Linked DNA regions of Sus scrofa. Each later gene encodes a partner of the first gene's protein in a complex. Links are inferred from orthologs where the notes say so. Each region holds a gene or a part of one and is shown in the gene's direction. Other genes may lie near its edges. The genes, in order: UBE2F, UBA3 and DCUN1D3.

Region 1 (10,318 bases):
TGGGTGCCATGACCAACAGTGGCTCAAAACCTGTATTTATTCTCTTGTGGTTCTGAAGATCAGAAATCCAAAATCAAGGGGTCAGCAGGGCCCTGTTCCCTCCAGAGGATTCAGGGGAGATGTGTTCCTGCTTGTTTTCAGCTAGAGGCCCCTGGGGCTCCTTCGCTCGGTCCCCTTGCTCAAGTCATCCCACCCTCTGCTTCCCTGGTCACATCCCTGCTACTGACTCGGAGGTCCCGCTCTCATGAGGACGTTGTGACTCTGATGGCCCTCCTGGATAATTCAGGACAGTCTCCCCATCCTAGTCCACGTAGGCTGCTTTATCGAAATACCACAGTCCAGAGGTTTATAAACAACAGAAATGTATTTCTCACTGCTCTGAAGGCTGCAAGTCCAAGGTCAAGGTGTCTGCAGATTTGGTATCCATTGAGGTTCATTTTCTGATTCGTAGAGGGCCACTTTCTCTCTGTGTCCTCACATGGCAGAAGGGCCGAGGGGCTGAGGCTTGTATAAGGGCCCTCAGCCCTCGGGCCAGCATCCTGCACTTTCTCATCCTGAGTCTCGTCAGGGCGGCTGTAATGTGGTGACTTGATGGCTGCAAGCTCCTTTGTTTCTTGCTGTGGCAGCGGCATTTTTCACTGATAGTTTTCAGCCTCCCCATTGGCCTCTAAGCCACCCTCCCTCTCTCCCTGCTTCAAGTCTCTAAACTCAGGTGGGACGATGGAGACTGAGCTCCCCTGTGCAGTGCAAACCTTGGGAGTCCCACTTGTATCCCCCCATTCCATGGGGCTTTACCTAGTGCCAGTTCTCCAAGGAGCTCATGCTCTCAGAGGGCAGGGTCTGCGCCTGGTACGTTCTGTCCCCTTCAAGTTCACCATATGGTTCCTGACTTACTGAAACCGATTTCAGAAGACCCTGGAGGGGCGCGGGCCTGTGTGTGTCCAGGCCCACTCTTCAGTGCCCTGGGCCTTGCTCCCCAGGAGAGCCGCCCTGGGTTGGAGGTAGGATGTGTGCCCCAGGATAACCTGGAGCAATACCCGAACAGGTGGAGCTGGTGCCAGCTGAGGGCCGAGTTGGCCCCTTCCCCCATGTCTCCTCTACACCTAGTGTTGCCAGGCTGCTTCCCACCCAGGCAGGGGGCTGCAACTGGAGCATCGCTAAGGTCTTGCCCTGGTGGAGGCTTGGAGTCCCCAGGACAGTGTGGGGCAGCGGAAGGGACACGAGCCCTGGACCAGGGGGGCTTGGCTCTGCTGCCGGGTTTAATCTCAGGGCAATCCCCCACCGAAGCATGGTGCCAGGAATGTCTACACTGATGGGGGGCTACTGATGGGGGGAGCTCTGCCCCATCCCGCATGAGCAAGAGGGAAGAGTGAGTGGATGGCTAACGAAGGCGTCCCCCGGGGCTTCCCCGAGGCCCTGCCCTGACCTCACAGACACCCAGGCGATGTTAAGCAGCTGGCAGGCTGCCCCAGGCTGAAGGGTGCCCTGTCACCTGGTGAGGGAGGCCCAGAACAGGCCTGGACAGCTCCTGGGACAGCTCGTGCAGTGGTGTCCAGAGGCAGGAATGGCTGAAAAGATAGGGGCATCTCCCCTTCCACGCTCCCGCCGGAGGCCCTGGGTCGAGCTTCTCAGGGGAGGCGTGAAGGCCCACTGTGTCCCCCTGGGCTTCCACTGGCACCAGTACCCCCCTTGGAGGCTCGTTACTGGGTCCAAGCTCGTGCTGCTTGCTGCACAGCAGGCTAATAAATCAAGACTTGAGTTGCTGGGGCAAAGAAGAGCAACTTGACTCAGAAGGGCAGCGGACTGAGACGACGGTGGACAAGTGTCGCAAGAACCACCTTCCCGGAGTTAGAATTCAGGCTTCTTTTATACTAAAAGGGGAGGGGTTCTCTTATAGTAAAAAGTCCTGGTTCTGTCAGACTCTGGAGGGGTCTCTTAATTTCTTCCTGCCTGCAGCCATTCACAGGTGGGCCTGGTCAGAGGTTTCCTCGGAAGGAAACAAAGGCATTTGAGTGCGATGCTCATTGCTGGGAGGCGAGGTCCCCAGAGATGGGCCATTGTGTATAATTTAAGCTTATAGGCACCATGCCTTTACTGATTAACTTGTAACAGAATACAAAGGTTCTTCCCTATCGTAGGCCCACAATTGGTCCTCTTCCCCCTCCTCCTGTATGTATGGGCTTACACACACACACACACACACACACACACACACACACACACACACACACACACACACACACACACACACACACACACACACACACACACACACACACACACACACACACACACACACACACACACACACACACACACACACACACACACACACACACACACACACACACACACACACACACACACACGGTGAGCACATGATCTGAACCCAGCCATTCTCTCCCAGAGAATGTGAAACTGGAAGGGAAGAGACGGCCCCTCTATGGCCTGGTTTATAAAGGTGTGTTTGAAGCCAGACCCCAGTTCTGGAGGCATCTGGGAGGAGAAGGCCAGCCCCGCCACTGCCCCTGTCCCAGGCCAAGACCCAGATGGAGGCACTGAGAGCTGGAGGCCAGGCTCCCCGTTCTCTCCTTAGAGTCTCTGAGCATGTCTAGTCTTCTGAATCTTTTGTGCTTAAGCCAGTGAAAGTTCTGTTTCTGAAAGAGCCCTGGTTGAAAACAAATTGCTTCTCCAGGAAGCAGGACGCCAACTCTGCCGCAGTCCTGGCTGATGGCCGCACCTGCTGCCCAAGGGACGTGGTGCACTGGTTGAGGGCAAATCCCAGCTCTGCCATGTCGGGCAGACACGTAACTTCTGAGCTTCCTCATCTGTAAGGTGGAGATAATAAAATACCCGTTTCATGAGGTTGCTGTGAGGATTACAGGACTTCCGAGCCTAGTAAACCCTAAATAAGGCTCGGGTGAAGGCACGAGGCAGCCTCATGAAATGGAGCTAGAAGCGGCTTCATTTGCCCACAGCAGTGAGAGGTGGGCCACTGTGGGCTCAGAACGGTGTGTAGACAATTCTCCTTAGTAAGACAAGCGCTCAAGCCAACCCACGTGTGCCTTCACTCGCTGCCCTGCTTCAAGGTCTTATCTTCTCTCGCCAGGACTCTGGCTACAAACACGCAGCCCTTATCCAGCAATGTGTTTTGACCCGGTTATGTACCAGGTTTGGGGAGGAGGTTAGAAGGGTGGGAAACACAGATGAGGAGGCCTGAGGAGCTGAGCATAGGGAAACGGGCATCAACAGTCTTGAGCACCAGGGAGAGGAGAGCACGGAGGTCCAGCAAAGTCACAGAGGGGCACCTGCACCTTACCACTCGGAGCAGGTGGATCCAAGCATGGGAAAATTTAGGAGGTAGCCCAGTGAAGATGGACGAAGCTGTTCCCAGACAGAAGGAATCCCATGAATTTTGTTCTTAACTGGTCTTCCTGACTCTTGTCTGGCTCCCCTCCCACCAGCTCCCTCAGAGCCAGAAGGCTCTTTTGGAAAAGAAACTTGAAATTGCCACTCCACTGTTTAAAACCTCTCAGTGGGACTTCTGGAAATAAAATTCTAACTCCTTGCCTCTTTCTTCCCCGTCCACGAGGTGAACCTCTTCTCTCAGATGGCTCACTCCTCCAGGAGGCTGGCGACCCCCGCCAGAGCACCTATTAACCAGACACACCTGAACTTGAGAATAATTAGTACTCAGCAAACCAGAAATTAGAACAACTTGAAATGGATTTTTTTAAAGTAAGTACGTCACGGAAGTGTAAGAGATAATAGAAGGAATAAACCCTAAGACAACAGGAAAGAGCCCACCCACTCCACTGCAGGCTCCCCGAGGCTTCCCGGGGTTGGGGGTTGGTGGCTGCAGGTCTAATCGCCCCGCCCCCCTCACTCCTGACACCGCGGACTGTGGGGCGGCCTGGTCCTCTGCACCCTGAGCCCTGGGATGGGCACATAGCGGGCACCCCATCCACCGGGGCAGTCAGTTCGGACCTGGCAGCCCCAGCAGGCCACGCTGCGCGGGGAACCTCTGAGCCGCAGGCCCAGGCCTACCAAACGACCAAATGAATGAAAGCAGGAACGCAGCGCAAAGGAACCCGCGCCGCTGCGGAAAGGACTTGGAGATCCCGCCCCCGGACGCCATTGGCCAATCATCGGAGGCCTTCAGGCTCGTGCCCGCCCCCCAGCCGCGCTCCTTGCCAATGAGAGGGGCCGGATCTGCCGGCTGCCTACCCCGGCCCCGGCCCGCTGGCTCTGCTGTTCGCGTGTCAGTCTCTAAATAAAGTTCTTCGCGGCTTTGAATTTTTTTTTTAAAGCGCCAGCTGCTGTTGCGGCCGCCGCGGGCGAGAGCGGCAGAGTCCCCGCCCCGCTACTTCCGGTCCCGCCGCCCGGAGCCGGTGCTGCTGTGAGGGGCTGCGCTTCGCCGCCGCCGGCCGGCCGGGCATGGTGTTGGGCGCCGGTCCCGCCTCGCCTGTCTCCGGGTGCCCAGGTGAGGAGCGCGCGGCCCTGCGGCGAGCGAGGGGCGGCCGCCGGCCAGAGGACGGCTCGGTTCCCGCGGCGCCGGTGCACCCGGCGGGCGGGCGGCGCCGGGGCCGCCTCAGGCCGCGCCGCTCCTCACGACCGGGCGCCGGGGCCCGAGGGCCGGTGGGCGGGCGCTGCGGGGCGCGGGCCGGGGCGCGGGCCGCGGCGGGGCTGGAGGGCCGGCCCTCCCGGAGCCCCGACCTGTGCCGGGCACACACGGCCTCGCTTGTGGCCGCCGTCGCGGGGGAGCTGCGGCCGCATTGTCGGGGAGGAAGCGCAGCGCCCAGCGGGCCCAAGGTCACCGGCCCGACGTGGCCGGAGGCAGCGGGAGTCGGGCGCGGGCGGGCGGCCTCCCGGCCTCCCGGGGAATCGGGCTAGGCCAGGGGGCGGTGCGGGTGCGGAGGAGCCGGGCTCCCGCCCCGCCAACTTGCGGGCGGCCTCCGGACAACCCGGGGCAGCACGGCTAGGGTGGAGGATCTTGCCGGGGCCCAGAATGGGGGAGGACATCCTGGACCAATCCCTACGGCCCAGTCCCGGATTCTAGACCTGGTTCCGCTGGTGTGTAATCTTGGGTGTGGCCCTCGGCTCCCTGGGTCGCGGTTGCCTCTTCCTTCTGTCCCCGGAGCGGATCGGGCCCGCCCCTCTCTGCCTCCGTCCAGCGCCGGAGTGGGGTCGGGAGGGACTGGAGTGGCCAGAGAAGGCTTCGTGGAGGAGATGGAGGAGCCTGTTATCCTAAAGAAGCAGCATTAGGGGCGGCGAAGGGAGGGAGGGCCTTCCAGACCTGGATATCAGATTGAGCAGAAGCTTCCAGAAATGAGCCGGGGTTGGCGAGGAACACGGAGGAGGCCCACCTCCCTCGTGCAGAGGCCCCTGGCTGGGCAAGGGGGTGAAGGCAGGGGACCGGAATGGTGGGAGCCGTGTTCAGAGAGAGAGACCACGGCCACCTAGGTGGTCTGGACTTGAGGACCTCCACCCCCGACACAGCTGCCACTCAGGAGGCGGCAGGTTTACCGCTAAAATTAAAGGGCTGGGCTCCAAAGGTCACTGGGCAGCCAGCCACCTTGCCCTGGCGTTTTAAAGAGGGAGGGTGGGGTGTGGACTTTTGTGTGTCCCGATCTGGGCCGCTTTGGCTGGAGATGTGGGTTGTCCCCTAGTGACCTGCAGTTCCATCTTTTAAGCTTCGATTGGGACTTGTCCAGGGCAGGAAGAATTGTAAACGAGGAGTTCCCCACCCACTGAGCTGACGGTCACCCGGACCTGATTTGGCCACAACGGGCAGGAGCACTGAGTAAACACTTGAGGATGAGACTAGGAAATAGCACAGCAGAATCTCTGAACAGTCTGAGAGCACGTCCCGCCCAGAGGAAGAACTTAAATGGCCCGATTTCAACTAGTGGAGTTAGAGACTGTGGGTGCTCTTCTGTGTAGTTGATCTGTTGTTACTGAAAATGCTGCCCTCGTCAAAGTGTCATTTGCAGTGAAGGGGAAGCTTAGTTTTGAACCAGTCCTGCAAGGCGGGAAGCATAGTTAAGGAGAGACTTCTGAAGCAAACTGCAGGTGTTCCGTTAATTGACAGCTTGAATAATTATTTTTGTTCAGATCTCTTTGTATAGACTTAATTTAACAGCTGAAGTAGTCCCAGATTAGACCTTTGGTTTGTCCCGAAGTGGCGTGTGTGGGAGAGGGACAGGCGCTGGAGGATAGATGGTCCCCGTGTGTAGATGGCTTAGAATGTTAGGAAAATAAGTCTTGTCTTCCTGAGGAAAACAAAGCACCGGTGTTATTTTCTTCTGTCTTGCACAGCCAGTGCCCAGTGTATTTTATTAAGGGCCATAAACTTGTTGAGAGTTGCAAACCAGCAGTCTGACTCAAAATGGGATTGAGTATGGGGCACACTCTGCCTGCAGCGAAGAGTTCAGGATGGGGTAGTGAGGAGACGCGAATTAAGCAGGGACCTCCAACTGCAGCGACACGGAAGAGTGTCCGGGTGTGAGCCTTTGTGTGTGTGTGTGTGAGTCTTGCCGGGACCCTCTGAGCATCTCCTCCTGTGCAGGTGCTCAAGGAGCTGAGCGTGGACCAGTCGCGTGCCCTGGGACCCGCTTTCCCGCCGGGCCCCGTAGGAGGACTTTCCCGGGCTGCCGCCTGCCGAGCTCTCTCTACCGGTGCTGGGCTTTGTTGCTGGCCGTGTGCGTAGTGCCAGGGTCCGCTAGCGGCTGAAGACCAAGTGGACCTGTGACAGCTGCATCTCTCGGCCTATCATCAGGCGACGCATCCATGTGCTCAGGCGTGGGTGCGAGGCAGGGGCTTGCTGGGGGGGGGGACACACTGCTTGGGATCCAGACCTGCGCGAGGGATCGCGGGCCAGATGGTGCGGGTGGAGGCCGACCAGGAGCGCCCGGCTCCAGACGGTGCTGCGGCCTCTGGTGGCTTGTGGGCTGAGCCCCCACAGGCGTTCCTGGCTCCCCGGCGCCCTCCCTGGTGAGCTTCCTTTGTGAGCCCCTGGTTCCTGCCGCAGGTGAAGCTGAGCTGAGCGTTGGTGGTTTGGTCCTCCGTGTAGGTCCAGCTGAGGAGAGAGCGTGGCAGAGTGGGAGTGAAGAAACTGTCACGTCTCGTCACCTTGACTGAGGGACAGCTGAAGCACGCTGACCTGTACATATTTAAACATGCAGTTTGATCGGACTTTGGTGTGTGTATAGCCTGAAATCACCCCCTTGTTCGGGGCGGAAACATTCCCGTCATCCTCAGAGGGAAACGAGCGGGTCTGCGGTGACCTCTTGTAGCCTCTGAGTGGCCTCCGACAGCCCAGTTCCTGGGCCCCAGGTGTCCCAGGGTCCACACCCATGACAAAGAGTGGGATCTGGGGGAGAAGTCCTCCCCAGATTGGAAATTCTAGGAGCTTGTGAGCGCTCCTGTCAGGTGGAACTGTCTCTTGAAGCACTTAGACCAGGGGTGCATGAGGGGACCAGGCGTGTGTGTGTCTGTGCGTGGGTCCTGTGCAGTTAGTTCAAAAGGCCATATTTAATACGTTGTTTTCATGGTACACATAACAGAAAATGAAGTCCGACCGTCTTTAAGGGCTGGAGGGTACACAGAAGATGGTGTAAAAGCTCTGTGAGGACCTGGGTTAGAGTGGTTAAAAATACCAGTGGGAGTAGGTTACTCTCACGGTTCGCCTTTAAAGATCTTGAACTCAAACCAAGCGTTGTGTGCTCACGTCCGTTTTTCATCCGGAAGTTTTAGATCATTTTCTTTTGAAAATGATCAGAGTGGTATCAGAAGGAAATTATGTTAAAGCCACAAAGGAAAGTATGGGAATGTTGAGCTGGTGACCAATTTTCATCCTCAATCAAAAGAAGTTCCAGAACTTCTCTCCAGCTGGTAAAACAAGCGAGAAGGGCTAGGAGGCCTGCCAGGTGAAGGGTGGCTCACGTAGAGAAGGCAGATTCGGTAGGATGGTTCCCTCTGTAAACGCTGCGGACACCTTCAGTCCTTCCTCCCAAGTGGTCAGTGCATCCCCTGTGTTTGGTCTTTGTGGTCCTTCCCAGTGAGCTTTCGAGAGGGCACCTGAAACTCGGTGGGTGGGAAGCAGCCAGTGAAAAGAATCCAGTGTGGGGCACTAATTATAACTGAATTATGCTGAGATTGCCTAACACTGTAAATACAGCACAACATACGTGAATGTGAAGGTGCTTATTAAGGGTCCAGCCACACCTTTATTAAAGGAAGGAGGAGAGAAAGCGAGGCTCCCTCCTCACCGGAGCCCGTTCCCCCCCGTCTGCGATGGGCCAGGCACTGGGGCCACACCGGGGGTGCCTGGTCCCCACGGCAGGAAGGGCGGACATACCGGTGGGCTGTGCTGGGCCCCCGTAGAACCGTCAGCAGAGGCTCCCCTAGACCATGAGCTCGGGGAGCATGGTCACTGCTACATGCCGGGGCCTGGTGCCCACCGAGTGCTATGTGCTTGGCTCTTCAAGCGAAACTTTCATTCATACTTTAGAAAATCATATTTAGAGAGGCATAGAGAACCCCCAGATTCATTACGAAGGACTCTAGTCTTCTTTATGTACCTTACGTGCTAAATTATGGGGAAACAATTAAACCCCCCTGACATCACTGTCTTCGCTGTCCAGCCACGGTCCGGAGATGCGTCCTCACCCTGTGTTTGGTCTTTCAGGGTAAAGGCAGCAGGAATGCTGACGCTGGCGAGCAAACTGAAGCGGGACGACGGTCTCAAGGGGTCCCGGGCGTCCCCCGCAGCCTCCGACTCCACTCGGCGGGTTTCTGTGCGAGACAGGCTGCTTGTTAAAGGTAGTGACCACCCTGTGGGCAGCTTTATACCCCAAACAGAAGGAGGCCTGGCCGGAGGCGCTCGGGGAAACGAAGCAGCCTGTTGCTGAATAGAAACACCTGTTTGAAAATATTTCAAAATATTAATTGATTATCGTTTACGACAGAGGAGTTCGTACTGCACACACACCATGGGAGTGCTCGTGGCAAGAAAATGGTATTAAAACCATGGTGTGTCTTCTGCACGTGGACTGTTCTCTGCAGGAGCTGCCAGGATGCCAGTGGGAGGAATAGGTGCCAGGAACCAGCGGGCTCACATCTCTGGTCTCGGCGCTGTCATTCCCTGGCTGGTGCTTGGCGGGGGGGCTTTCTTCTCTCTTCCGGACGCCTCGCTCCAGAGCGTCTGATCTGTAGAGGGAGGAGTGGAGCGTGGCCGTCTCCTAAGACCCTCCCAGCCTGAGGGGAGGCTTGTGCAAAATCCGTTCTCTTCTCAGAAGTGATAACACAGTGTCCTAGGGCCGGAGGCTTTGGGGAAGGGTTTATACCGTGTGTGTGTGTCAATATGCGAGCCTTTGTCTGGAACTTTTGCGTTTATTCATTGACCAGACTTAGAGCTACTGAGTGCAGTTTCCTGGGGACTTGAGGCTACGACGATGAAGAAACAGTTTCTGCCTTTAAGGCACTGAGAGTTTGCAGCACTTCTTACTTTGTGACATGTGTACTTTTTTTAGTATAAGGAGCCAGGAGGCACAGAGGGTTAAGTAGTTGGTTAGAACTGCCTGTTTTCCGGTTGAGTGAGGTGGGTGCCATGGCGTTTGCAGGTCTAGGAACAGGGCTAATGGGAGGACCGGGTGAGTGTGCGGGCGCTGTGTTGGACCTTCTCAGAAACAGCTCTGCCAAGGTTGTGAAGGGGTGGGCTGGAAACAGGTGGCCTCGGGTTCCGGGAGACTCCAGTGGAATAAGGGACACTCTTCCGTGCTCTCCCGCTGCCCCTGAATCTTGACTTAGCTCTGGCTTTCCCACCTGGTGGCAGATGAGTTAAAGATGGAGTGATTCTTCAGTCGCCTTTGACATTTTGGCAACACCTTCCAAGTCTGGGAGAGCGTCAGATTGTGCTCAGTTTGTGACCTTGCCGGAAGGGTTACCCTCTGGGGTCAGAGGTGGGGCCTGGGCTGCAGCACCTCACCAGGGAGCCCTGGGAGGACTTGAGCCTCCTAGATGCTGGCTCCAGGCTCCCATCTGCAGAGGACCAGGGAAGGGAAGCAGGCCAGGGAAGGGGGTTGATGCCTGGGGCTATAGTCCTTCCAGGGAGGGTGTTCTGATGCCCAGGAAGTTGCAGTGAGGAAGGAAGAACGGGTGGGAAGCTGGCCAGTAGACAGCGCCGTCTCTGTACCGTCTCCGTGCCCTGGTCGACGGCAGCTGTTGTCCACTGAGCATGTGGGGCCAGGCCCTCCGTCGGGTACTTGATAGGGCTGTTCTTGTTTGACTTTGGCTAAGCCTTGCCCGGAGGGTAGTT
Region 2 (9,613 bases), on another chromosome or scaffold:
AATACAGATCAGCAAAAAGAAGAGGAAAATCAGCAGCAGTGAGCTTATTATTACTGAGATAACTGCTGATAACACTTTGCTTTATGTCCTTCCAATCTTTTCTTTTTAAAGTTATATGCTTTTTTTTTTGGTCTGTTTCTATGGCTGAACCCGCGGCATATGGAGGTTCCCAGGCTAGGGGACTAATCAAAGCTATAGCTGCCTGGCCTACGCCACAACCATAACAATGCCGGATCTGAGCCCAGTCTGTGACCTACAGCACAGCTCACGGCAACGCCGGATCCTTAACCCACTGAGCGAGGCCAGGGATCAAACCCACAACCTCATGGTTCCTAGTCGGATTCATTAACCATTGAGCCACGACGAGAACTCCTGGCTGTAATTTTAAAATCTAGTTATGTAGCCAGTGCCATCTTCTGTTTTGCATTATTGCCCTTAATTTTAGTTTCAATGGTATGTCTCCTCTACTAGATTCTAAATTCACAGGCTGGATCCTGTTAATCTTTGTGTCTTACTACAGCAAAGAGTCAGCGTTATTATTAGCCAAATGTGGAAGACATGTTGGAGTAAATTTATTTTTACAAGAAATATGTTTTAAAAAAGGAGTATACACACTTTATTAATTCCTATACCTTTGGATATGGGGAACTTTTAGTATATCATGGAAATTCAGGAAATGGGATTTACTATGAAGGATTCAAAAATCAACATACAAAGATCATTTGTATTTCTATATACTAGCAGTGAACACATGGAAACTGAAACTTAAAACACTGTGCCACTTACAACCACTCAAAAGAAAAGGAGGAACAACACTTAGGTGTAAATGTAACAAAATAAGTATGGGACTTGTATGTTGATATTGCACAATGCTGAAGAAAGAAATCAAAGAAGATTTAAATAATGGGAAAATATTCTATTTTCAAAAATTGGATAATTCAACATACTAAAGATGTTATTTTTCCCCAAATTTGTGTATAAGTTTAACACAATTTCTATCAAAGTGCCTGCATTTTTTTGTTGTTGCTACAGACAAGATTATTCTAAAATTGATAGAAAGGGTAAGGAACACCTAAAACAATGCTGAGAAAGATCGAAGTGGAAGGAGTCACTATCCAATTTTAAGACTTACTCTATAGCCACAATCATCAAGACTGTGTGGTATTGCCAGAGAGAGATTAGCAGAACAGACTGGAGAAACCAGAAGTAGGCTCCTGCAGGTGTGGCCAGTTTATAGTCACAAAAGGTACAAAGCCAGTTCAAGGGAGGAAGACTATCTCTTGATAAATTGTGGTCAAGCCATCAGATGTCACTAGGCAAAAAAGTGAATCTCAAACCTCAAAATAACAAAACAACTCAAATTGCATCATAGTTTTAAGCATAAAATATAACACTTTGGAAGGTAACATATAAGAAAAATCTTTGAGACATAGGGCTTGATGAAGAGTCTTCAGACCACATTAGAAACATGCCATTAAAGAAAAAAGTATGTTAAATTGATTTTGATCAAAAGTAAAAACTTCTGCCCTGTAAAGGATCTTGTAAAGAGGGTGAAGAGCTAAGCTGCAGACTGCGAAATACTTACGAAGTAGGTTTCTGACAAAGGACTCAATCAAGAACATATAAAGAACTCTGAAAACCCAACAGTAAAAAATTACGATGCAGTTAGAAAATAGACAACAAATATTAAGGGATATTTCACTGAAGATAGCAAAAATCACTTGAAAAGATTTTCAGAATCATGAGGTATAAGAAATTGAAATTATGATCACAGTGAGGTATTACTATTCACCTATTAGGATAGCTGAAATAAAAAATATCAGTAAGTTTTGGCAAAAGTATAGAAAAACTGGATTACTCGTACATTGCTGACGGGAAATGTAAAATGATATAGCCATCAGGAAAATAATTTGGCTGTTTCTTAAAAATCTGAACAGGTACCATCCATATGACTAAATTTCATTCCTGGGTATTTACCCCAGAGAAATGAATACTATGTCCACGTACAAACTTATTCTCAAATGTTCACAGCAGCTTTATTTGCAGTACCCTCTAACTGGAAACCACCCAAATATCCATCACTAGGTGAATTGTTAAACTGTGATAACAGCCACACCTTGTAATAATACTGAGCAATAAAAAAGAATGAAGTACAATTAATGAAATATGACTTGGATGGATATCAAGAACATGATACTGAATGAAAAATGCCAGTGTCTATAAAAGTCATATATTGTATGATTACATTTATATAACCTTCTTCAAATGACAGTTATCTAGATAGAGAACAAATTAGTGATTGCCAGGGATCAGGGATGGTTGAGGGGATAGGTGTGACTGTAAAAGGGGTAGCTGGAGGGAGATCTTTGTGGTGATGAATAGTTGTGTATCTTTATTGTGGTCACACAGTTTTACATGTGGTTGAATGACAACCTTACACACATTGTACCCATGTTGTGTTTGTGGGTTTGATATTGTGCTGTAGGTATATGATGTAACCATTGGGGGGAAACTTGAGTGAAGGAAATGTGGGACCCCTCTGTACTATCTTAATAAAAATAAAAAAGTTCAATAATGTGAATACAGATCTCTATAGGGAGAAACAGAGGGTTTTTTTTTTTTTTTTTTTTTTTCCCAAGTGTTCACATTCTTTGTCCATCCCCATTATTTAGATCTGTGAAAATTTGGGTGTTTTGTAGAACTCTAGGAGATGGGATTTCTTGGCCTTGCTCCTCTATCTCCTATTGTTCCTTCATTGTTTGCTCTGGTTCTCTTTTGACCTGCCTTTTCTTTCTTTCTTTTTTTTTTCCTAGCCTACCTAACATTTTATTTTATTTTATTTTATGTTTTAATTGATATTTCCCCAATACATTTTTTTTTCTACTGAACAGCATGGTGACCCAGTTACACATACATGTACACATTCTATTTTCTCAGATTATCATGCTCCATCATAAGTGACTATAAATAGTTCTCAGCACTACACAGCAGGATCTCATTGCTAATCCATTCCAAAGGCAATAGTTTGCATCTATTAACCCCAAGCTCCCCATCCACCCCACTCCCTCCCACTCCCCCTTGGCAACCACAAGTATGTTCTCCAAGTCCATGATTTTCTTTTCTGTGGAAAGGTTCATTTTTGCCATGTATTAGATTCTAGATATAAGTGATATATGGTATTTGTCTTTATCTTTCGAATTTCCTTCACTCAGTATGAGAGTCTCTAGTTCCATCCATGATGCTGCAAATGGCATTATGTCATTTTTTTTATGGCTGAGTAGTATTCCATTGTGTATATATACCACATTTCCTAATCCAATCATCTGTTGATGGACATTTGGGTTGTTTCCATGTCTTGGCTATTGTGAATAGTGCTGCAATGAACATGTGGGTGCCTGTGTCTTTTTTAAGGCAAGGTTTGTCCAGATATATGCCCAAGAGTGGGATAGCAATAATAGTGGGTTATATGGTAGTTTTATGTATAGATTTCTAAGGTACCTCTATACTGTTCTCCATCGTTGACCTCCCTTTTCTAGCTGTAGTTTTTGTCTCTTGTTTGTCTGGCATTCCAGAGGAATAGAGGTCTGAGTGGGTGAGAACTAGAATTTTCATAACTTTATTTTTAGGCTAGAATAAAAAAATCTAGAGCAAACGTATATTGTCCTTGTTGCTCCTAACAGAAAAAAAAAAAAAAATTTGTTGTAGATATTCTGTTCAAATGCTACGTACTGTGATTCACATTCCCCACCAATTTGGATGGGGTTCCCTTGGCACCCTCCAGACTGGGGAAGACTGCTGATAGGGTGTGGGCTGGGTAAGGAGAGAGAGATTTGGAATACTGAGTTAAACAAGAGAGGGAGAAAGAATTCATTGACCACCCCCAAACAAAACAAAACAAAACCCAATGACCAGTAAGTACTTGAAAAAGCTTTTAAAACATCTATTTTTAAAAATTATGTTTATTTAAAAAATTTTTATATTTTCACTTTAAGGTCTGTACCTGTGGCATATGAATGTTCTCAGACTAGGGGTCTAATCAGAGTTGCAGCTGCTGGCTTATACCACAGCGTGGCAATGCCAGATCCGAGCCACATCTGCAAATTACACTGAAGCTCATGGCAATGCTGGATCCTTAACCCACTGAGCAGGGCCAGGGATCGAACACACACATGTCCTCATGAATTCTAGTCGGGTTCGTTACCACTCGTTACCACCACAACAGGAACTCCTCTGTTTTTTTAAAATTAGCTTTGTGGTAACTTTTTTTTTCTACTTGATCTTATCTGACATATAACATTGTATAATTTTAAGGTGTGCAATTTGTTATTTTGTGTAGTATATTGACTCCTAAAATCACCTTTCTAAAATGGGAAATACAATGTCTGTTTCCTTTACTAAACAAATGTTAATTGCTGCTTAGCTTGGTCCTGGTGGTTGAAGATGTGCATTCTGCTTTCCTGGGGCTTACAGTTTTATATAAAAACTGAAGCAGAATAGAAAGTATAGCAGAGACAGAATTATAATGATGGGGATTTGGAGATGAGAGAAGCTAAGTAGTTAGGGGAAGAGTGTTTAGGAAAAAGCTTTTCTGAGAGCTAGGGTTGTGTTCTTTTTGTCAGATTCCTTGAATTCCATTGCTTTGAACATTGATGACTTATGTCTTGTTTTAAATATACATTTATAATGTGATCCTTATGGCATTGTCAAATTCACTTTATAAGATAAAAACTCAGCCTAAGTTCCTTTACTTGTATTCAGACATTTCAACAAGATTCAGGATTTTAACGACACTTTCTATCGACGTAAGTTTTCCACTTGAAGTTAAATTCTCCCTAAATTCTTACTGTTTTTAGTTGCTGTTTATTTGAAGATTGGTAGCTTTTTTTTTCTTTTTTTGTCTTTTTTAGGGCCACACCCGTGGCATATGGAAGTTCCCAGGCTAGAGGTCAGATTGGAGCTGCAGCTGCCTGCCTAAACCACAGCCACAGCCATGCCAGATCCAAGCCACTTCTGCAGCCTACACAGCAGCTCATGGCAATGTTGGATCCTTAACCCACTGAGCGAGGCCAGGGATCAAGCCCACATCCTCATGGGTACTAGTCGGGTTCGTTATTGCTGAGCCACAATGGGAACTCCTGAAGATTGGTAGCTTTTTGAAGGCTGTTTCTTTCTTTGCCTTCATTTCTTGGTGTTGACTTTTCAGGAGGTTGTCAATTGATCGGAAAGGGAATGCCACTGTTTGAATTTCTAGTTGGCATTGTTAGCCACATATTTGTATTCTGTCTTGAGTAAAGATTACTCAAGGATTAGAAGCTGTGTGTGTATTACAGTGAAAAATGGGTTTGTTTGTTTCTTAGAAATTGAATTATTTTGTGCTGTGATACTTTAAAAAACTAAATTTGTGTTTTTTTCTTGTAGAATTTCATATAATTGTATGTGGACTGGACTCTATCATAGCCAGAAGATGGATAAATGGCATGCTGGTAAAGACTTAGTGTTGTTACGATTCTCTAAGGTTCTTGGTGCTGCTTTTAACAGACTGAAAACGAGACTTTCATGACATATTTTTGAGAAATCACAGTTTAATTTTTAATGATAGACATAGTCCAGTGATTATATTGCCAGTCATTAATTTTCAGGTGAGGACATAAATTGCTAAGAAAATAGTCCCTTGATTTGATATATTAGTACTCAACAGTGTGATTGACTCATAGAATTACTTGATAGCATTTTCTTTATTTTTGAATTCTTATCCCGTTCTCCTTATAAATCCTTCAAATAATTTTTCTAGATATCTCTTCTAAATTATGAAGATGGTGTATTAGATCCAAGCTCCATTGTCCCTTTGATAGATGGGGGGACAGAAGGTTTTAAAGGAAATGCCCGAGTAATTCTCCCAGGAATGACTGCTTGTATTGAATGCACACTGGAACTGTACCCACCGCAGGTAATCATAAAAACACTTGTATCTATTTTATAGTATCTCGGGGTGGAATGAGGGTTGAATTATTAAGAAAGACTAGTCAATATTTACAATTTCTAGATATGGGGTACCATATTTAAAAAATCATCCCAAGAAGAAAGATGATAAAGCATGAAATTTTGCTCTGTTTGAGGAAAGATACAGACAGAATAACGTCATTTTGATACTGTTTTGTTTTCATAATTCGTTTGTATTTTTTTTATTTGGAGAGTAGGGATCAAAGGATCAATTACAAAGTTATATATTGTATAGCTGTAATCTATTTTCTTTGGTTTTTGTCTTTTCAAGGAGGTAAAGATACCAGGAATGAGAATGATTTCCAAAGATGGGGCTCTTTACATACTCACTTAAGGACATTTGAAATTTTGATTTATAATTATTAGTATTTACTTGAAAGTTATTTTATTTATTATTTATTTGTCTTTTTAGGGCTGCCCCAACCGCATATGGAGCTTCCCAGGCTAGGGGTCCAGTCGGAGCTATAGCTGTTGGCCTACGCCACAGGCACAGCAATGCCAGATCCAAGCCGCATCTGCGACCTATACCACAGCTCACAGTGACACTAGATCCTTAACCCACTGAGCAAGGCCGGGGATTGAACCTATGTCCTCATGGATAATAGATTTGTTTCTGCTGAGCCACGACGGGAACTCCAGATTTTAACACTGTGAATTTTCTTTTGTTTTGGTTGATTTTATACCTTCAGATATAAATATTAGGTAAACATAGCAATTCGAGATTTTATTCAGCCCTTTCCTCTAACAAAGCTTAAATTTATATGTATTTTGTAAATGGAGAGCAGACCTATTTTTTAGGCAGATCAAGCTAAGGGGAGTGACTCAGAAGATCTGTTATTTTCAAATTCATTTTATTTATTTATTTATTTATTGGCCACACCCGCAGCATGTGGAAGTTCTCAGGGCCAGGGATTGAATCCCTGGATGCAGCTGTGGCAACTCCGGATGCTTTAACCCACAGTGCCTGGCTGAGGATCAAACTCAGTAGCAACCCATGCCATTGCAGTCGGATTCTTAACCCACTGTGTCACAGCAGGAACTCCTAAATGGCATTTTCATGGTATAAAATGTTTTGTTTCTGTAAATAGAGGGCTAAGATGAGTTATTGAAAATGGTTACAAACTAGATCACAACCGGAAGTTACATTTTAAAATAATTTATTGTTTAAATCCACTAAAAAAGGAAAACTGTGGTTTTAGGTTAATTTTCCCATGTGCACCATTGCATCTATGCCCAGGCTACCAGAGCACTGTATTGAGTATGTAAGGATATTGCAGTGGCCTAAGGAGCAGCCTTTTGGAGGTAATAAACCTAATTTCACAATCCAGATTTACGTAAGATATTTGTCTATGTTATTTATTTGGAAAATTACATTAAAAATAAGTTGGTCTTTGTTTACATGTTTCTGTCTTCCTTTCCTTTTTTTCCTTCCCCTAACAGAAGGGGTTCCATTAGATGGAGATGATCCTGACCATATTCAGTGGATTTTCCAAAAATCCCTAGAGAGAGCATCACAATATAATATTAGAGGTGTTACGTATAGACTCACTCAAGGTAAGTTAGTGAATAGTCGTGAATTATGTTCTTAGAATGATCCCCTTTTCAGGGATTGGAATGCTTTCAAGGAAATAACTGATAAGTGATTTTGGATAGTACTGTCCATTTGAGGTTTAGTAAAGCTACCATGGAAATAATAGTTTCCAGGTGTCCCAAATTTGGTAGGAGGGAACTGAGTTCACCAGAATCCATACTACTTCTTAACCAGGAGGAATTTAGTGAAATCATTGAATCGTATTTACTTAGGATTGGAAGAGGGCCTAACTCATCTAGGTCAAATCATTTACTTTATCTTCGGCTGAAGAGCAATTCATCCCTTCCTGGGGCAGTCTATTTCACATTTGGTCATTATTGTTAAGACATTTCTATATATTGAACAGAAATCTCCGTATTGTATAAGGTCTGAATATTTTCCCAAGATTTGCCATATATAAATTTAATTCTCTTTTAAATAATAGCCCTTAGGAATTCCTGTTATGGTTCAGCAGTAAAGAACCTGACTAATATCTATGAGGTTGCGTATTTGATCCCTGGCCTTGCTCAGTGGGTTAAGGATCCAGCATTGTTATGGCTGTGGCATAGGCTAGCAGCTGCAGCTCTTATCTGACCCCTATCTGGGAACATCCATATGCCACAGGTGCAGCCCTTAAAAAAAAAAAAAAGTAATAGCTGTTAAAGTATTGAACCCTCCAAATCATTAGCATTCCCACCAACCTTACTAGTTCCTTTAACCCTTTGGCATGTTTCATGACTCAATACTCCATAATGTTGGTTTTTTCTAACCATATTTTAGTTATCCATACTTCTCTTAACTGTCTAGGTGAGAATGCGTTGTTCTGGGATGTGTCTGATAAGACACTTCCGATCATCAATGCAGTCTTAGAGGAGGAGCAGGGTTTTTTTTTTTTTTTTCCTAATTGTTTGTAGCTTACGTTGATGCTATGCTTTTAATTCTTTCAGGTTACTATCTTCTAAAATCTGGAGGTTTTCTCCATATATGCAATTGCTAAGTCACATCTTTCTATTATAGATTTGGCAGTTTTAAGGGGTGGTAGTTTTGTTTTATCTCAAGTGTAGGTCCTTATGATTTTATTCTTCAATTCAACCTACTGTTCTCTCTTTATATATGTGTATTCTTTTATGCCCAAGCCACATAAAGTTAGTATATACTTTTCAGCTACATATCGCATATTGTTTTAATAATCATATTCTGTATCTCTTTTCCAAATAACTAGTTAAACATTTTGACAAGACTAAACTAGCTGAGAATAGACATCTGAATCATACCTCTGGTCAGGCACTTTTAGATTTGTCTCATTCTAGTGATCTATATATACCTCTTGAGTACTTCATATTTCTTTGCTCTCTTCACAAGGATGTCATGAAAGACCTTTTTAGAGTCTCTGCTGAAGCCTGGATATACTATTTTCCACATTTCCCTGGTTACCAAGCTAGTCCCAGTAACTAAATATGAAGTAGTCTTGTGACTTGTCTCTGAACAATCATAATGCTCAATTTTAGTGGTCATTGTTTCCCGATGTAGACACTCACAGTTTGTTCTTAGAATTTTGTCCAGGATCATCAAGTTCACCAGAAGGAGCTTTGTCTTTTTGAAAATCTGCCATTTCTCTCCTGTGATTTTTTTTTTTTTAACTGATGTAATGTTTTTTGAAAATTTCATTCTTATATACTCCTTGTTGTTCCCTTTACTTCCCATATTTTGACCTGCTCTGTGTCACTGGGATATACCAAGCATAGTCCCACCTCAGAGCTTTAATACTTCTGATCCTTATGCCTGGAATGCTCTTCCTTGGACCCCTTCAAAGTGGCTACTTGCCCCTCTGGTTTCAACCAGTTTTCCTTATCCTTCAGCCAAAAATGATTTCTAAGCCATTCACTATTTTACCTTTCTATAATTGCTCTGTCCTCATGGTAGCCTTGTTTTTCTACATGAAGAATGTTTCATATTTACACTCTGATTCATCCCTGTTCTGAGGCCTTTGCCCTTGCTGTTTATAGACTTGCTCCAACTTTCCCCAGGTCATTGCATAGCTGG
Region 3 (9,613 bases), on another chromosome or scaffold:
AAAAGCATGAAAAAGCCTAAAGAAAACCCTTAAGTCTCATTTTCACACCAAAACCCGTTCTAAGGGTTTCAGTGTGTTTTTGAAACCTGAGTGAAACTGCCAGTCTTTTAAGGGCCTGTATGGTCATGTCTGTCATTTATTCTTGTTGAGGGTGGAGAAGGGGACACACCCTGATATGATGTGACTGCAGTAACTATAGGAATGGTTCTGGTCTTTGTTTTAAACTTGTACACTCAGAACTTACCCTTAGAATTCCTTTTGAAGATACCTCCAAATTGATCCAAGCACTCTTTGGAGGAAGCTCACGTTCTCCAGGTAAAGTTTAAAGCTCCAACCTTCCATTAAAAGCACCCCTCTGCCCCAGCGCCAGTCTCCTTAGAGCTTTGACTTGGGATTGAGGGTCCATGAGAGCTTCAGCTTGGGAGGCATGAGCCTGACATTGACTTGGTCTGCTTTCCCTGGGAGAAAATTTACTTCTGGCTCCTGGTCTAAATGTCTGTTAATGTTATAATTTCAAGGCTGCAATTATTGAGAAGGTGGCAAAATTTTACAAGTACTAAATTATAGATGGATCTTCTAGCAGACCAGTTGAAAGAGTTGATAGTCTTCAGAGAAATTACCTCACCCTGACCCAGAAATTTCTAGCAATTCTTTAAAAAACACTTTTTAGTTCCTTAAACTACTGTGATGAGTTTGTTACGTATCAGTGCAGACTTTTCTTTTTCATTTCGCAATTATTTCTAAATAATTGGGTAAATCAGCCTTTTTTTTTTTTTTTTTTTTTTTTTTTTTTTGCTTTTTAGGGCTGCACCCGCAGCATAGGAAGTTCCCAGGCTAGGGGTCGAATCAGAGTTCTGGCCTACGCCACAGCCACAGCCACACCAGATCTGAGCCGCGTCTGTGACCTACACCACAGCTCACGGCAATGCCTGGTCCTTAACCCACTGAGGGAGTCTAGGGATCGAACTCAAAACCTCCTGGTTACTAGTCAGATTCGTTTTTGCTGCACCACGACGGGAACTCCCCAGCCCTTCTTTTACAATGGAGACAGCATCTTGGAAGACTAAGGGCCCTATAGGACGTTGACGTTTAGTGCGAACTTGGCTTTCCTTCCACACCGCACCTGCTGAGGGGGGTAAAGAAATCAGTGACTGGGACCCCTGGTGTAGAGAACAGCCTTGATGGACGGCTCCTCTGGGTGGAGAACGGGTGTTTCATCTATGTGTGGTGGGTCCCAGAAAGGAGTTTGAAGAAATTAGATGACATTTTACCTTGTTATTTGGCTAGGATTCTCTTTATAGCCTTGAATTTGCAAATTCTTTACATCTTTGGGCCATTATGACACCATACAGTTGTTTTGGATGTGGCCACCCCTTTTTCCCCCACCACTCATCCTACATCAAAAGAAAATCTGAGAATTTGGACATTAGAGACGAGAGGATGGACATTTTACTTGCACCTTCTGAGTTAACACAGCTCCAAGTAACTTTCTTATGTGATGGCAAGTTAGCAAGATAAATTTCCTTTGGAGTATTTCTGGCAAAACTTTAGTCTTCCTTTTTTTCTTGGCCGTACCTGTGGCATGTGGAAGTTTTGAGGCCAGGGGTCAAACCCATGCTGCAGTTGCCACCTGTGCCACAGCTGTAGCAAGGCTGAATCCTTAACCTGCTGTGTTGCATGGGCACTTTGCCTTCCGTGATGTGTCCTGCATGTGAATCAATCTCTTTGGGATCTATGTTACCTTAAGAATTTTAGGAATTTTCCTTAATGCTTCTCCATATGTGCTCTAGCCTTTGCATTTCCAAGGCGAAAGTGTAAGCTTGCAAGAGGGGATAGTGATGAACTTGGGGCATCTCCCCTGATTCATGGTTGGTTCACTGAAACAGTGCTGTCCCAACGCACAGGCCCTGGAGAGGAGCCTGCATCCTGCATCTCTCTGTCCAGTGCTGATCATGCCCTAATTTCTTTCCAGGTTGGCTGGCTCCTCTGGCTGATGGCATGTTGAGGCACATGGACCAGTGTCAACGAGGGCATCCAGTCCAGAGGGGGCCACTCTAGAGGTCAGGCCACCAGCATCATGGGCCAGTGTGTCACCAAGTGCAAGAATCCCTCATCAACTCTGGGTAGCAAAAATGGAGACCGTGACCCCAGCAGCAAGTCATACAGCAGGCGGGGCGCAGGCCACCGCGAGGAACAGCTGCCAGCCTGTGGCAAGCCAGGTGGGGATATCCTCGTCAATGGGACCAAGAAGGCAGAGGCTGCTGCTGAGGCCTGCCAGTTGCCAACGTCCTCGGGAGATGCTGGGAGGGAGCCCAAGTCAAATGCCGAGGAGTCTTCCTTACAGAGGCTGGAAGAACTGTTCAGGCGCTATAAGGACGAGCGGGAGGATGCAATTTTGGAGGAAGGCATGGAGCGCTTTTGCAATGACCTATGTGTGGACCCCACGGAATTTCGAGTGCTGCTCTTGGCTTGGAAGTTCCAGGCTGCTACCATGTGCAAATTCACCAGGTTAGTCCCAAGGGTCAGCAGGTGAGCAGAGGAGGTGAGAGAGGCCTACTGAGCAGTGGTGTCCAGCTAGGATAGACCTAGGCTGACTTCTGAGGGGTTTGAGTAAATCTTAATTTCCTTTTCTGACCAATTTCTCTAAAGCTATTCAGCCTCTGGAGAACTGGGCAACCAGTCATCTTTGTCTGAAGTTAAATGAGGAGTAATCCACGTTGCCAAGGTGCCGCCCCGCTCACTGCTATTCTAGACTTTCTTTTCTTGTAAATTCACTCACGTCCTCACTCACTTGATATTTATTGTTCACTTATCACGTGTCAGGCACTGTGAGTGCCAGTATAGTGAGTGCCACTGGGGATATGCCTCAGTCACTTCATGAAGCAAGTTGCCCCTTTTGGCTCCACACATAACCCTTAGCCAGCCTATGTGCCAGCTGGCCCCAGTGTCAAGCAGTAGTTGTGTACATTGTCATGCATGCCTGTAGAGGTTGTGTGTGGGAGATGGCACGGCAGGGCCACCCTAAGGTTTGGTTTGCAGAGCACTGAGTTAATAAAGGAAGAAGAATTGACTTTGAGAACCTCTCAGTATCATTTCTTGCCCCTGGGTAGGTTACCTGACAACAGACCTCAGATGTTCTTTCTCAGCAAATACAGAAATCTCTGAGATTATCACTGTGAGACTGTGTTGTCAACTGCAAGCATTATATAGATATTAAAGATACACAATTTTTGTGGGTTTTTTTGGCCTCACCTGTGGCATGCTCAAGTTTCCAGGCCAGGGATGGAACCCGTGCCACAGCAGTGACAGAATGAGATCCTTAATCCACTGAGCCACCAGGGAACTCCCCACAAAATTTTTTTTTTTTTTTTTTTTTTTAGGGCTTCATCTGCAGCATATGGAGGTTCCCAGGCTGGGGGTCCAATCAGAACTACAGCTGCTGGCTTACCCCACAGCCACGGCAAAACGGGATCTGAGCCGAGTCTGCAACCTGCTCCGCGGCTCACAGCAACACCGGGTCCTTAACCCACTGAGCCAGGCCAGGGAACAAACCTGCGTCCTCATGGATACTAGTCAGCCATCATCACCACTGAGCCATGACAGGAACTCCCAATTTTTGTCTTTTAATAACAGAACTTTGGAGTTCCTGTCATGGCGCAGTGGTTAACGAACCCAACTAGGAGCCATGAGGTTGTGGGTTTGATCCCTGGCCTTGTTCAGTGGGTTAAGGATCTGGTGTTGCCATGAGCCATGGTGTAGGTCACAGACGCGGCTCGGATCCCGAGTTGCTGTGGCTGTGGTGTAGGCTGGTGGCTATAGCTCTGATTGGACCCCTAGCCTGGGAATCTCCATATGCCGTGGGTGCAGCCCTAGAAATAACAGAACTTTGATCTCTGGTGGTAGAGTTACCCAGGTTCATCCAGAATCTTGGCTCCAGAAATTTCCCTTGGCAGGGACCAAAAAAATTCCCCAACAACCCCTAGAGAATCAAAAGGAAAACAGGAAGAGACTCTCCCCATCTGGGAGGAGAATCTGTAACTTAAATCACCATTGCAGGGCGGGAAATAGGGCACAGAGCAGGAGACCTGCTTATGAATGAACCATTATCAGCTGCCTACCATGTGCCAGTCACTGTTAGGAGCAGTTGACATATTCACTTGTTTAATCCAAACCCTATGAAATAAGGTAGTATTCTCACCATTTGAGAGGAAGTAGGACCACAGTTAGTGAGGGGTTGGGAATTCAAATCTAGCCAGCCAGCCACACAGCTATGCTCTTAATACTATATTGCCTCTCAGTAAGTGATACTATTTACAATTATTGTGTCCCTCTTTCCTCTTGCAGGAAGGAGTTTTTTGATGGCTGCAAAGCAATAAGTGCAGACAGCATTGATGGGATCTGTGCACGGTTCCCTAGCCTCTTAACAGAAGCCAAACAAGAGGATAAATTCAAGGATCTCTACCGGTTTACATTTCAGTTCGGCCTGGACTCTGAAGAAGGGCAGCGGTCACTGCATCGGGAAATAGCCATTGCCCTGTGGAAACTAGTCTTTACCCAGAACAATCCCCCGGTATTGGACCAGTGGCTAAACTTCCTAACAGAGAACCCCTCGGGGATCAAGGGCATCTCCAGGGACACTTGGAACATGTTCCTTAACTTCACTCAGGTGATTGGCCCTGACCTCAGCAACTACAGCGAAGATGAGGCCTGGCCAAGTCTCTTCGATACCTTTGTGGAGTGGGAGATGGAGCGGAGGAAAAGAGAAGGGGAAGGGAGAGGTGCACTCAGCTCAGGGCCCGAGGGCTTGTGTCCCGCGGAGCAGACTTAGTGGCTCTGTCCCAGGCGCAGCAGCACGGATCTGCCCGCTGCCCTGCAGCCAACTGAGGAATTGGACCTTTCTGGAATTTGCTGAAGATCCGGATATTTTCTACTTTACACCTTTCTCTGCCTTGTATCTGAAAGGGCTCTAAAATGCTGTATCATGTTTTAGGCACTTTCTTCACTTTTTGGTTATTTTGGTTATTTCTTTTTTGGGGGGGTTCCCCCAAAATATTTGAACCTGGCTAACTGTTGTTTATCTTTTTTTTTTTTTTTTTTTTAAGCCTTCAGATAGAATAAGCCTGCCATTTCTTGCACAAATTAGATTTTTTTGGGGGGGCGGGGGAGGGTGTAGAGCAGGGAGGGGGGAATGGGACAGTTAGGTTGAATTATCATTACAAAATGACACAGTGCCAGATCTCAGTTTTGGATATTCTTGATTTTCAGGGCAGGTCTGTACTGTGTGTAGTGCTGTTTACATGGTTGAATTTAGGTTGTAATAATTATTTTTAAACATTATGCAGAATTGAATAGCAGTGTTAACTGTTAACCACATTGCATTAATTCCCAGGCAGTTTAAAGCTCTTGGAGAGCCAAGGCCAGCCAAGGGCATTTGTAGTCTGGGGACAACCCCCTTTTAAGCTAATTTATCTGAAATCCTTATTTTCCTCACTTCTTGCTCATTCCTCCTTTGACCTATTGCATTTCATGTTGAGTTTATCCATCAACATGCTGCACCTGTCAGTCAAGTGAGCAGTTTTTTTAGAACACCTTGTACTGAGAACCACTTAAGCATCGAATGCAGAGAAAGCAGTGCTACCTCAGTTTTGCTGGAAGTAGACTTTGATAGTTTTCTTTCTTTGATGAATTTTCTGTATTTTCATGTTGTAAGTGGAAATACTTTTTTTTTTTTTTTTTTTTTTTTCATTTGCCTTGGAGCCAAAGTTTCTGTTCCTGGTGGTTGGCAAACTGTGCCTGCCGGCCAACTGACTTGAAGGAAAACTGTGGTATGGAGCTCTGCTTGAATTTTTTTTTTTAATTTTTTTGAGTATCATCAGCTTACTTGTCTGGCAAGTGCAGAAGCCTGGGGCTGGCCTGAACTCTGCCAAACAAATATAGAAATGTATTTAATAGTTAAATGTGTGCCCTTTCCCTTCTTGCTGCACCCATGTTGTCACTTAACCCCCAGAAGTTATTTATTATCTTCTTTGTTACTGTCAGGCTCATTTGGGGTATGTGATGACTGTTTAGGTTTACATGACTCTCCTCTCCTTTCCCTGCCCCCAAATATGTATATATACATATATAAGATATGTATATATTTTACCTATATAAAATATATATATATACACATATATGTATCTATTTTTTTTTCTTTGCCTGCTAAAACTGGCTATAAAAGGGAGCTGCCTTCAATATAAAAAAGTATAAGAAGAGTGCCAGGGAACATCATAAAGGAGGTTTTGAATCTGAATTTGGACTGTTTTCACTGAAGATGAAATTTCTCAGCCCTTTCCTCACAAGAGGGAGTCTCAGTTCCCTAGTGCTCGCTCCGTAAGGCCAGCTTTGGCCAAACTGCCACACAGGAGCTGACTGGTCCTCCCTTGTTTCAGTAGAGGGTCCTCTTGTTATTTTTACACTTAAAAAAAAAAAAGTCATGAAACTGTACTGGAGGGGTGGGTGGGAGGAACTTGTACAGTTCAGCTTCCAACACTTTGGAACAGACTGAAAAGAGAATCTTTTAAATAAAAACTTATAAAAATATTTATATTCTTGGGGTAATGAGAATTTATTAAACATTTGGACCCCCATCTCCAGGCATGTTTCTCAGCCTGGGCAGGAATTGCTTATTTTCTTTTATTAGTAGCCTATGGCTCTGGGCTCCCATCTTTACAAAGATGATTTAAGGAGTTTCTACAGTTTTTCTAAAATTGGCACTGACATAGAGTACATACTTGAAGTTTTTCTTTTTTTTTTTTTAAATCCTAACAGTTGCCCCTTCTACAGGATGGATGGGAAACTTAAAATCACTTAAAGTCAGCTATAATAGGTTAGCAATACTGCTGGAAAGCTGAACAGGGCCCCAGTCCAGATGCTAACACACAAGATCCTTGTATAAAAGTTTCTGGGTGTCCCAGCAGATTCTGTGGGCTCAGCTGTAGTCGGGGTCCCTAGACTGAGGTGTTAACAAGACCACCTTCTCACCCAGTTTTTCCGATTCTCGATTGGGTAGAGGTTGAATAAGGGTAAAGGTAGGCTGCTCCTAGCCAGCTAAGGATTTTCTGTCTCAGATCAGAAGGGTATATGGGAGTTCCTGTTGTGGCTCAGCAGTAACGAACTCAGCTAGTATCCATGAGGACATGGGTTTGATCCCTGGCCTTGCACAATGGGCTAGAGGACCCAGTGATGCTGTGAGCTTGTGGTGTAGGTGTCAGAGGCTCGGATCCTGCATTGCTGTGGCGTGGTGTAGGCAGCAGCTACAGCTCCCATTCGACCCCTAGCCTAGAAACTTCATATGCTGTGAGCGCAGCCCTAAAAAGACCCCCCAAAAAAAAGAAAAAAAAAAAGGTGTATGGCAAGTAGGGCCCAAAAGAGGTAGACTTCCTCAGCCTACAAGAAGGCATGCCATTCATTAAGTATGCTATAAAGTGTGGATTTTTTTAATTCAACTATTCAGCTTCCCACCCCTCACAAAAGAGCCATTTAAATTTACTTTTGGTTGTATTTTAATGATACATATGTTACAAAAATGTGCAAATGAGAAGCCAGAAAAGAGAATGGTCAGGGAGGGACTTAAGTCTCCTTCCAGGTATGTGTCCTTGATGCAAGGAATTCAAGCTTCTGCAGTAGCCTGGGCCAATGCCTGACTTTTTTCTTGACAATAGGAAAAGCAGTTTTGCTGCAGAGAGATCCAAGGTAGAGAACGTATGTAAAGTTTGCATTTACACTTCTGGGAAATGAAAGGTCCCTGTTCCTCTTTGCCTAGAAGTAGCTTTACTGCTTAATGAGCAGTAATTGTGTGGAGGTCAATGCATGCCCCTCAGGTAAGCCAGTGCACTCTTCACTTTAACAGGACACCAGAGTGGTGTCGTGGTGTGGAGACAGGAAGGATGTGGATGCTATTTTGAAAATATGCAGATATCTGAGTGACTACAACGAACTGGGTATGTTGGGAAATTGCTTGTTTTTGGCAAGTGACTGTGTGTGATATTTCTTTAGCAATTGATTAGAAAGCTATATGAGATTAAGTTGCTTCACTGAATTGCTCTTTCCCCATCCCTGCCAAATTTGAATGTGTCATTCTTAACCCCACCTCCTGTAATGACATTTTGCTATGCTTCAACTAGTTGCCTCAGCAGTTCTGCCAGATGTGCCCATATGTGAGCTGGGTCCAAGATCCCATTTCTACCCTTCTGATTAGAAGGAAAAGCTAGAGCTGGGTAGAGATCCAAATTTCAACAAAGGCCACAGGCACAAGGAAATCCAACTGAAAACGTACAAGACAGTGTTTTCAATATTAAACTTCCCTAACAAAGGCACAAACTCACCCAGGAAAGGAAGAAAGGATTAAGCCACACACTATTATTTGGTCTTTAGGGACTGATGCCAAAATTCAGTCCTCAGGCTGGAGCCTGTAGGGTTAATGTGATGGCTTCCTATATTATGCCAAATTGTATAAAACAGTGGTGGAAAATCGCTAGGATAAGGACTTGGTATAAAAGTTTAAAAAACAAAAGAGAAAATCTGTATTTAGTACTGTGTTTGGTTTGCCACATTTAAGACAGTCTTCAGTGCCCTGAAGCTCAAAGGTAGACCCAATTATACAACAATTATAAGGGCTGGAAGGAAGCTGCTGCTACGTTTTCTTGCTGTAATCACCTGCTTTGCCATTTTTCTTGTGTCTTAACGTTTGGTTAATGATGACCTGGACATCTTTAACTGACAAAGCTCGACAAAGCTCTTCCTTGGGGGACTCCAGCAGTTTGTTTAAACAAAGTGGACTGAAAAGGCCATTAAAGTGTTATTAAAGTGTTAATGGGGACTCATTTGAGAACCTGTGACACTGATCTTCCTTAGCCCACAGTCTGTTTTCTCAATTATATAAAGGTTCCCACCCAATCCCCCTCGAGAGTTTATTCCTTTGCTAAGCTGTAATTATAGCATACACCCAGGTTAACCTCATTTGGCGTTACATCACAGCGAGGATCTACAGGTATTTTTCTTCACTGAAAGACAAAATTGAGTACTGGTTGCAGAAACAAGGTTGGTTCAAATAGCTTTGAGTAACCATCAGATCCTGCTTCTGACTCAGGTGCTGGGGCATGATATCCTCCCTGTCCTCTGCTTGGAAACTGAGCCAGCCTGCACTTCCACCACCCACCTCCGGACACAAATCTTGGATATTGCCAAAGGAAGCCACTCAGCAGCTGCTGTTTTTTTCCCCCAAAAAAAACATTTATTCTGGGAGAAGAGTCTTCCCTCTGTTCCTGGTCCCAGCCCCAAGTCTGTGATTAACTGCTCATACCTGTTGCACTAATGAATGATTCTAGGTTTCAAAGGGAGAATTTGAAGCAATAGGCAAATGGGGCTTGGAGAAATTGGTCCTACAGATACCCTGCCTTAACTCGTTGAGGTGATGAGTGACCCTCCACGTTTGTGGATTCCTCTTGGTTTGTGACCAGTGTGCTCCTTGAAGTTGTACAAACTTGTTGACAAAAGTCAATACTTTGTATTCTCTGCACTGTTGCACTCTCCAAATGGCCCCTTGGATATTTTTATTAACTGGTTATATACA

Evidence for each region.
Region 2: the proteins of UBE2F (region 1) and UBA3 are in contact, whole or in part, in a crystal structure (PDB 3FN1), measured with the Homo sapiens proteins. The link is inferred for Sus scrofa from reciprocal best matches to the Homo sapiens genes UBE2F and UBA3. Residues at the interface, in NP_001265234.1 of Homo sapiens: Thr27, Arg28, Arg29, Val30, Asp34, Lys35, Val38, Lys39, Val41, Ala42, Glu45, Val54, His55, Phe56, Pro57, Asp58, Pro59, Asn60, Leu62; in NP_003959.3 of Homo sapiens: Ala401, Thr403, Thr405, Leu406, Glu407, Gly408, Asn410, Arg411, Thr412, Ser417, Val418, Thr419, Ser420, Ile421, Arg424, Thr425, Gln442, Glu443, Ala445, Ala447, Asp448, Val449, Thr451, Pro452, Gln453, Thr454, Leu456.
Region 3: the proteins of UBE2F (region 1) and DCUN1D3 are in contact, whole or in part, in a crystal structure (PDB 4GBA), measured with the Homo sapiens proteins. The link is inferred for Sus scrofa from reciprocal best matches to the Homo sapiens genes UBE2F and DCUN1D3. Residues at the interface, in NP_001265234.1 of Homo sapiens: Leu2, Thr3, Leu4, Lys7, Leu8; in NP_775746.1 of Homo sapiens: Glu108, Glu109, Glu112, Pro122, Thr123, Glu124, Met139, Cys140, Glu194, Ile204, Ala207, Leu208.

What each region holds. Positions count from the first base shown.
Region 1 is NC_010457.5:137,562,917-137,573,234, forward strand, and holds the start of UBE2F (NEDD8-conjugating enzyme UBE2F), read left to right. Parts: upstream 1-4,337; 5' UTR 4,338-4,483; intron 4,484-4,694; exon of another isoform or gene 4,695-5,073; intron 5,074-8,686; exon of another isoform or gene 8,687-8,689; 5' UTR 8,690-8,705; coding exon 8,706-8,823; intron 8,824-8,846; exon of another isoform or gene 8,847-10,318. UniProt on the Homo sapiens protein: Accepts the ubiquitin-like protein NEDD8 from the UBA3-NAE1 E1 complex and catalyzes its covalent attachment to other proteins. Together with the E3 ubiquitin ligase RNF7/RBX2, specifically neddylates cullin-5 (CUL5).
Region 2 is NC_010455.5:50,483,877-50,493,489, reverse strand, and holds part of UBA3 (NEDD8-activating enzyme E1 catalytic subunit), read left to right. Parts: intron 1-4,758; coding exon 4,759-4,802; intron 4,803-5,418; coding exon 5,419-5,483; intron 5,484-5,791; coding exon 5,792-5,947; intron 5,948-7,199; coding exon 7,200-7,302; intron 7,303-7,440; coding exon 7,441-7,554; intron 7,555-9,613. UniProt on the Homo sapiens protein: Catalytic subunit of the dimeric UBA3-NAE1 E1 enzyme. E1 activates NEDD8 by first adenylating its C-terminal glycine residue with ATP, thereafter linking this residue to the side chain of the catalytic cysteine, yielding a NEDD8-UBA3 thioester and free AMP.
Region 3 is NC_010445.4:25,182,053-25,191,665, forward strand, and holds part of DCUN1D3 (DCN1-like protein 3), read left to right. Parts: intron 1-1,972; 5' UTR 1,973-2,077; coding exon 2,078-2,508; intron 2,509-4,344; coding exon 4,345-4,828; 3' UTR 4,829-7,611; coding exon of another isoform or gene 7,612-7,717; 3' UTR 7,718-9,613. UniProt on the Homo sapiens protein: Contributes to the neddylation of all cullins by transferring NEDD8 from N-terminally acetylated NEDD8-conjugating E2s enzyme to different cullin C-terminal domain-RBX complexes and may play a role in the cell cycle progression by regulating the SCF ubiquitin E3 ligase complex, after UV damage.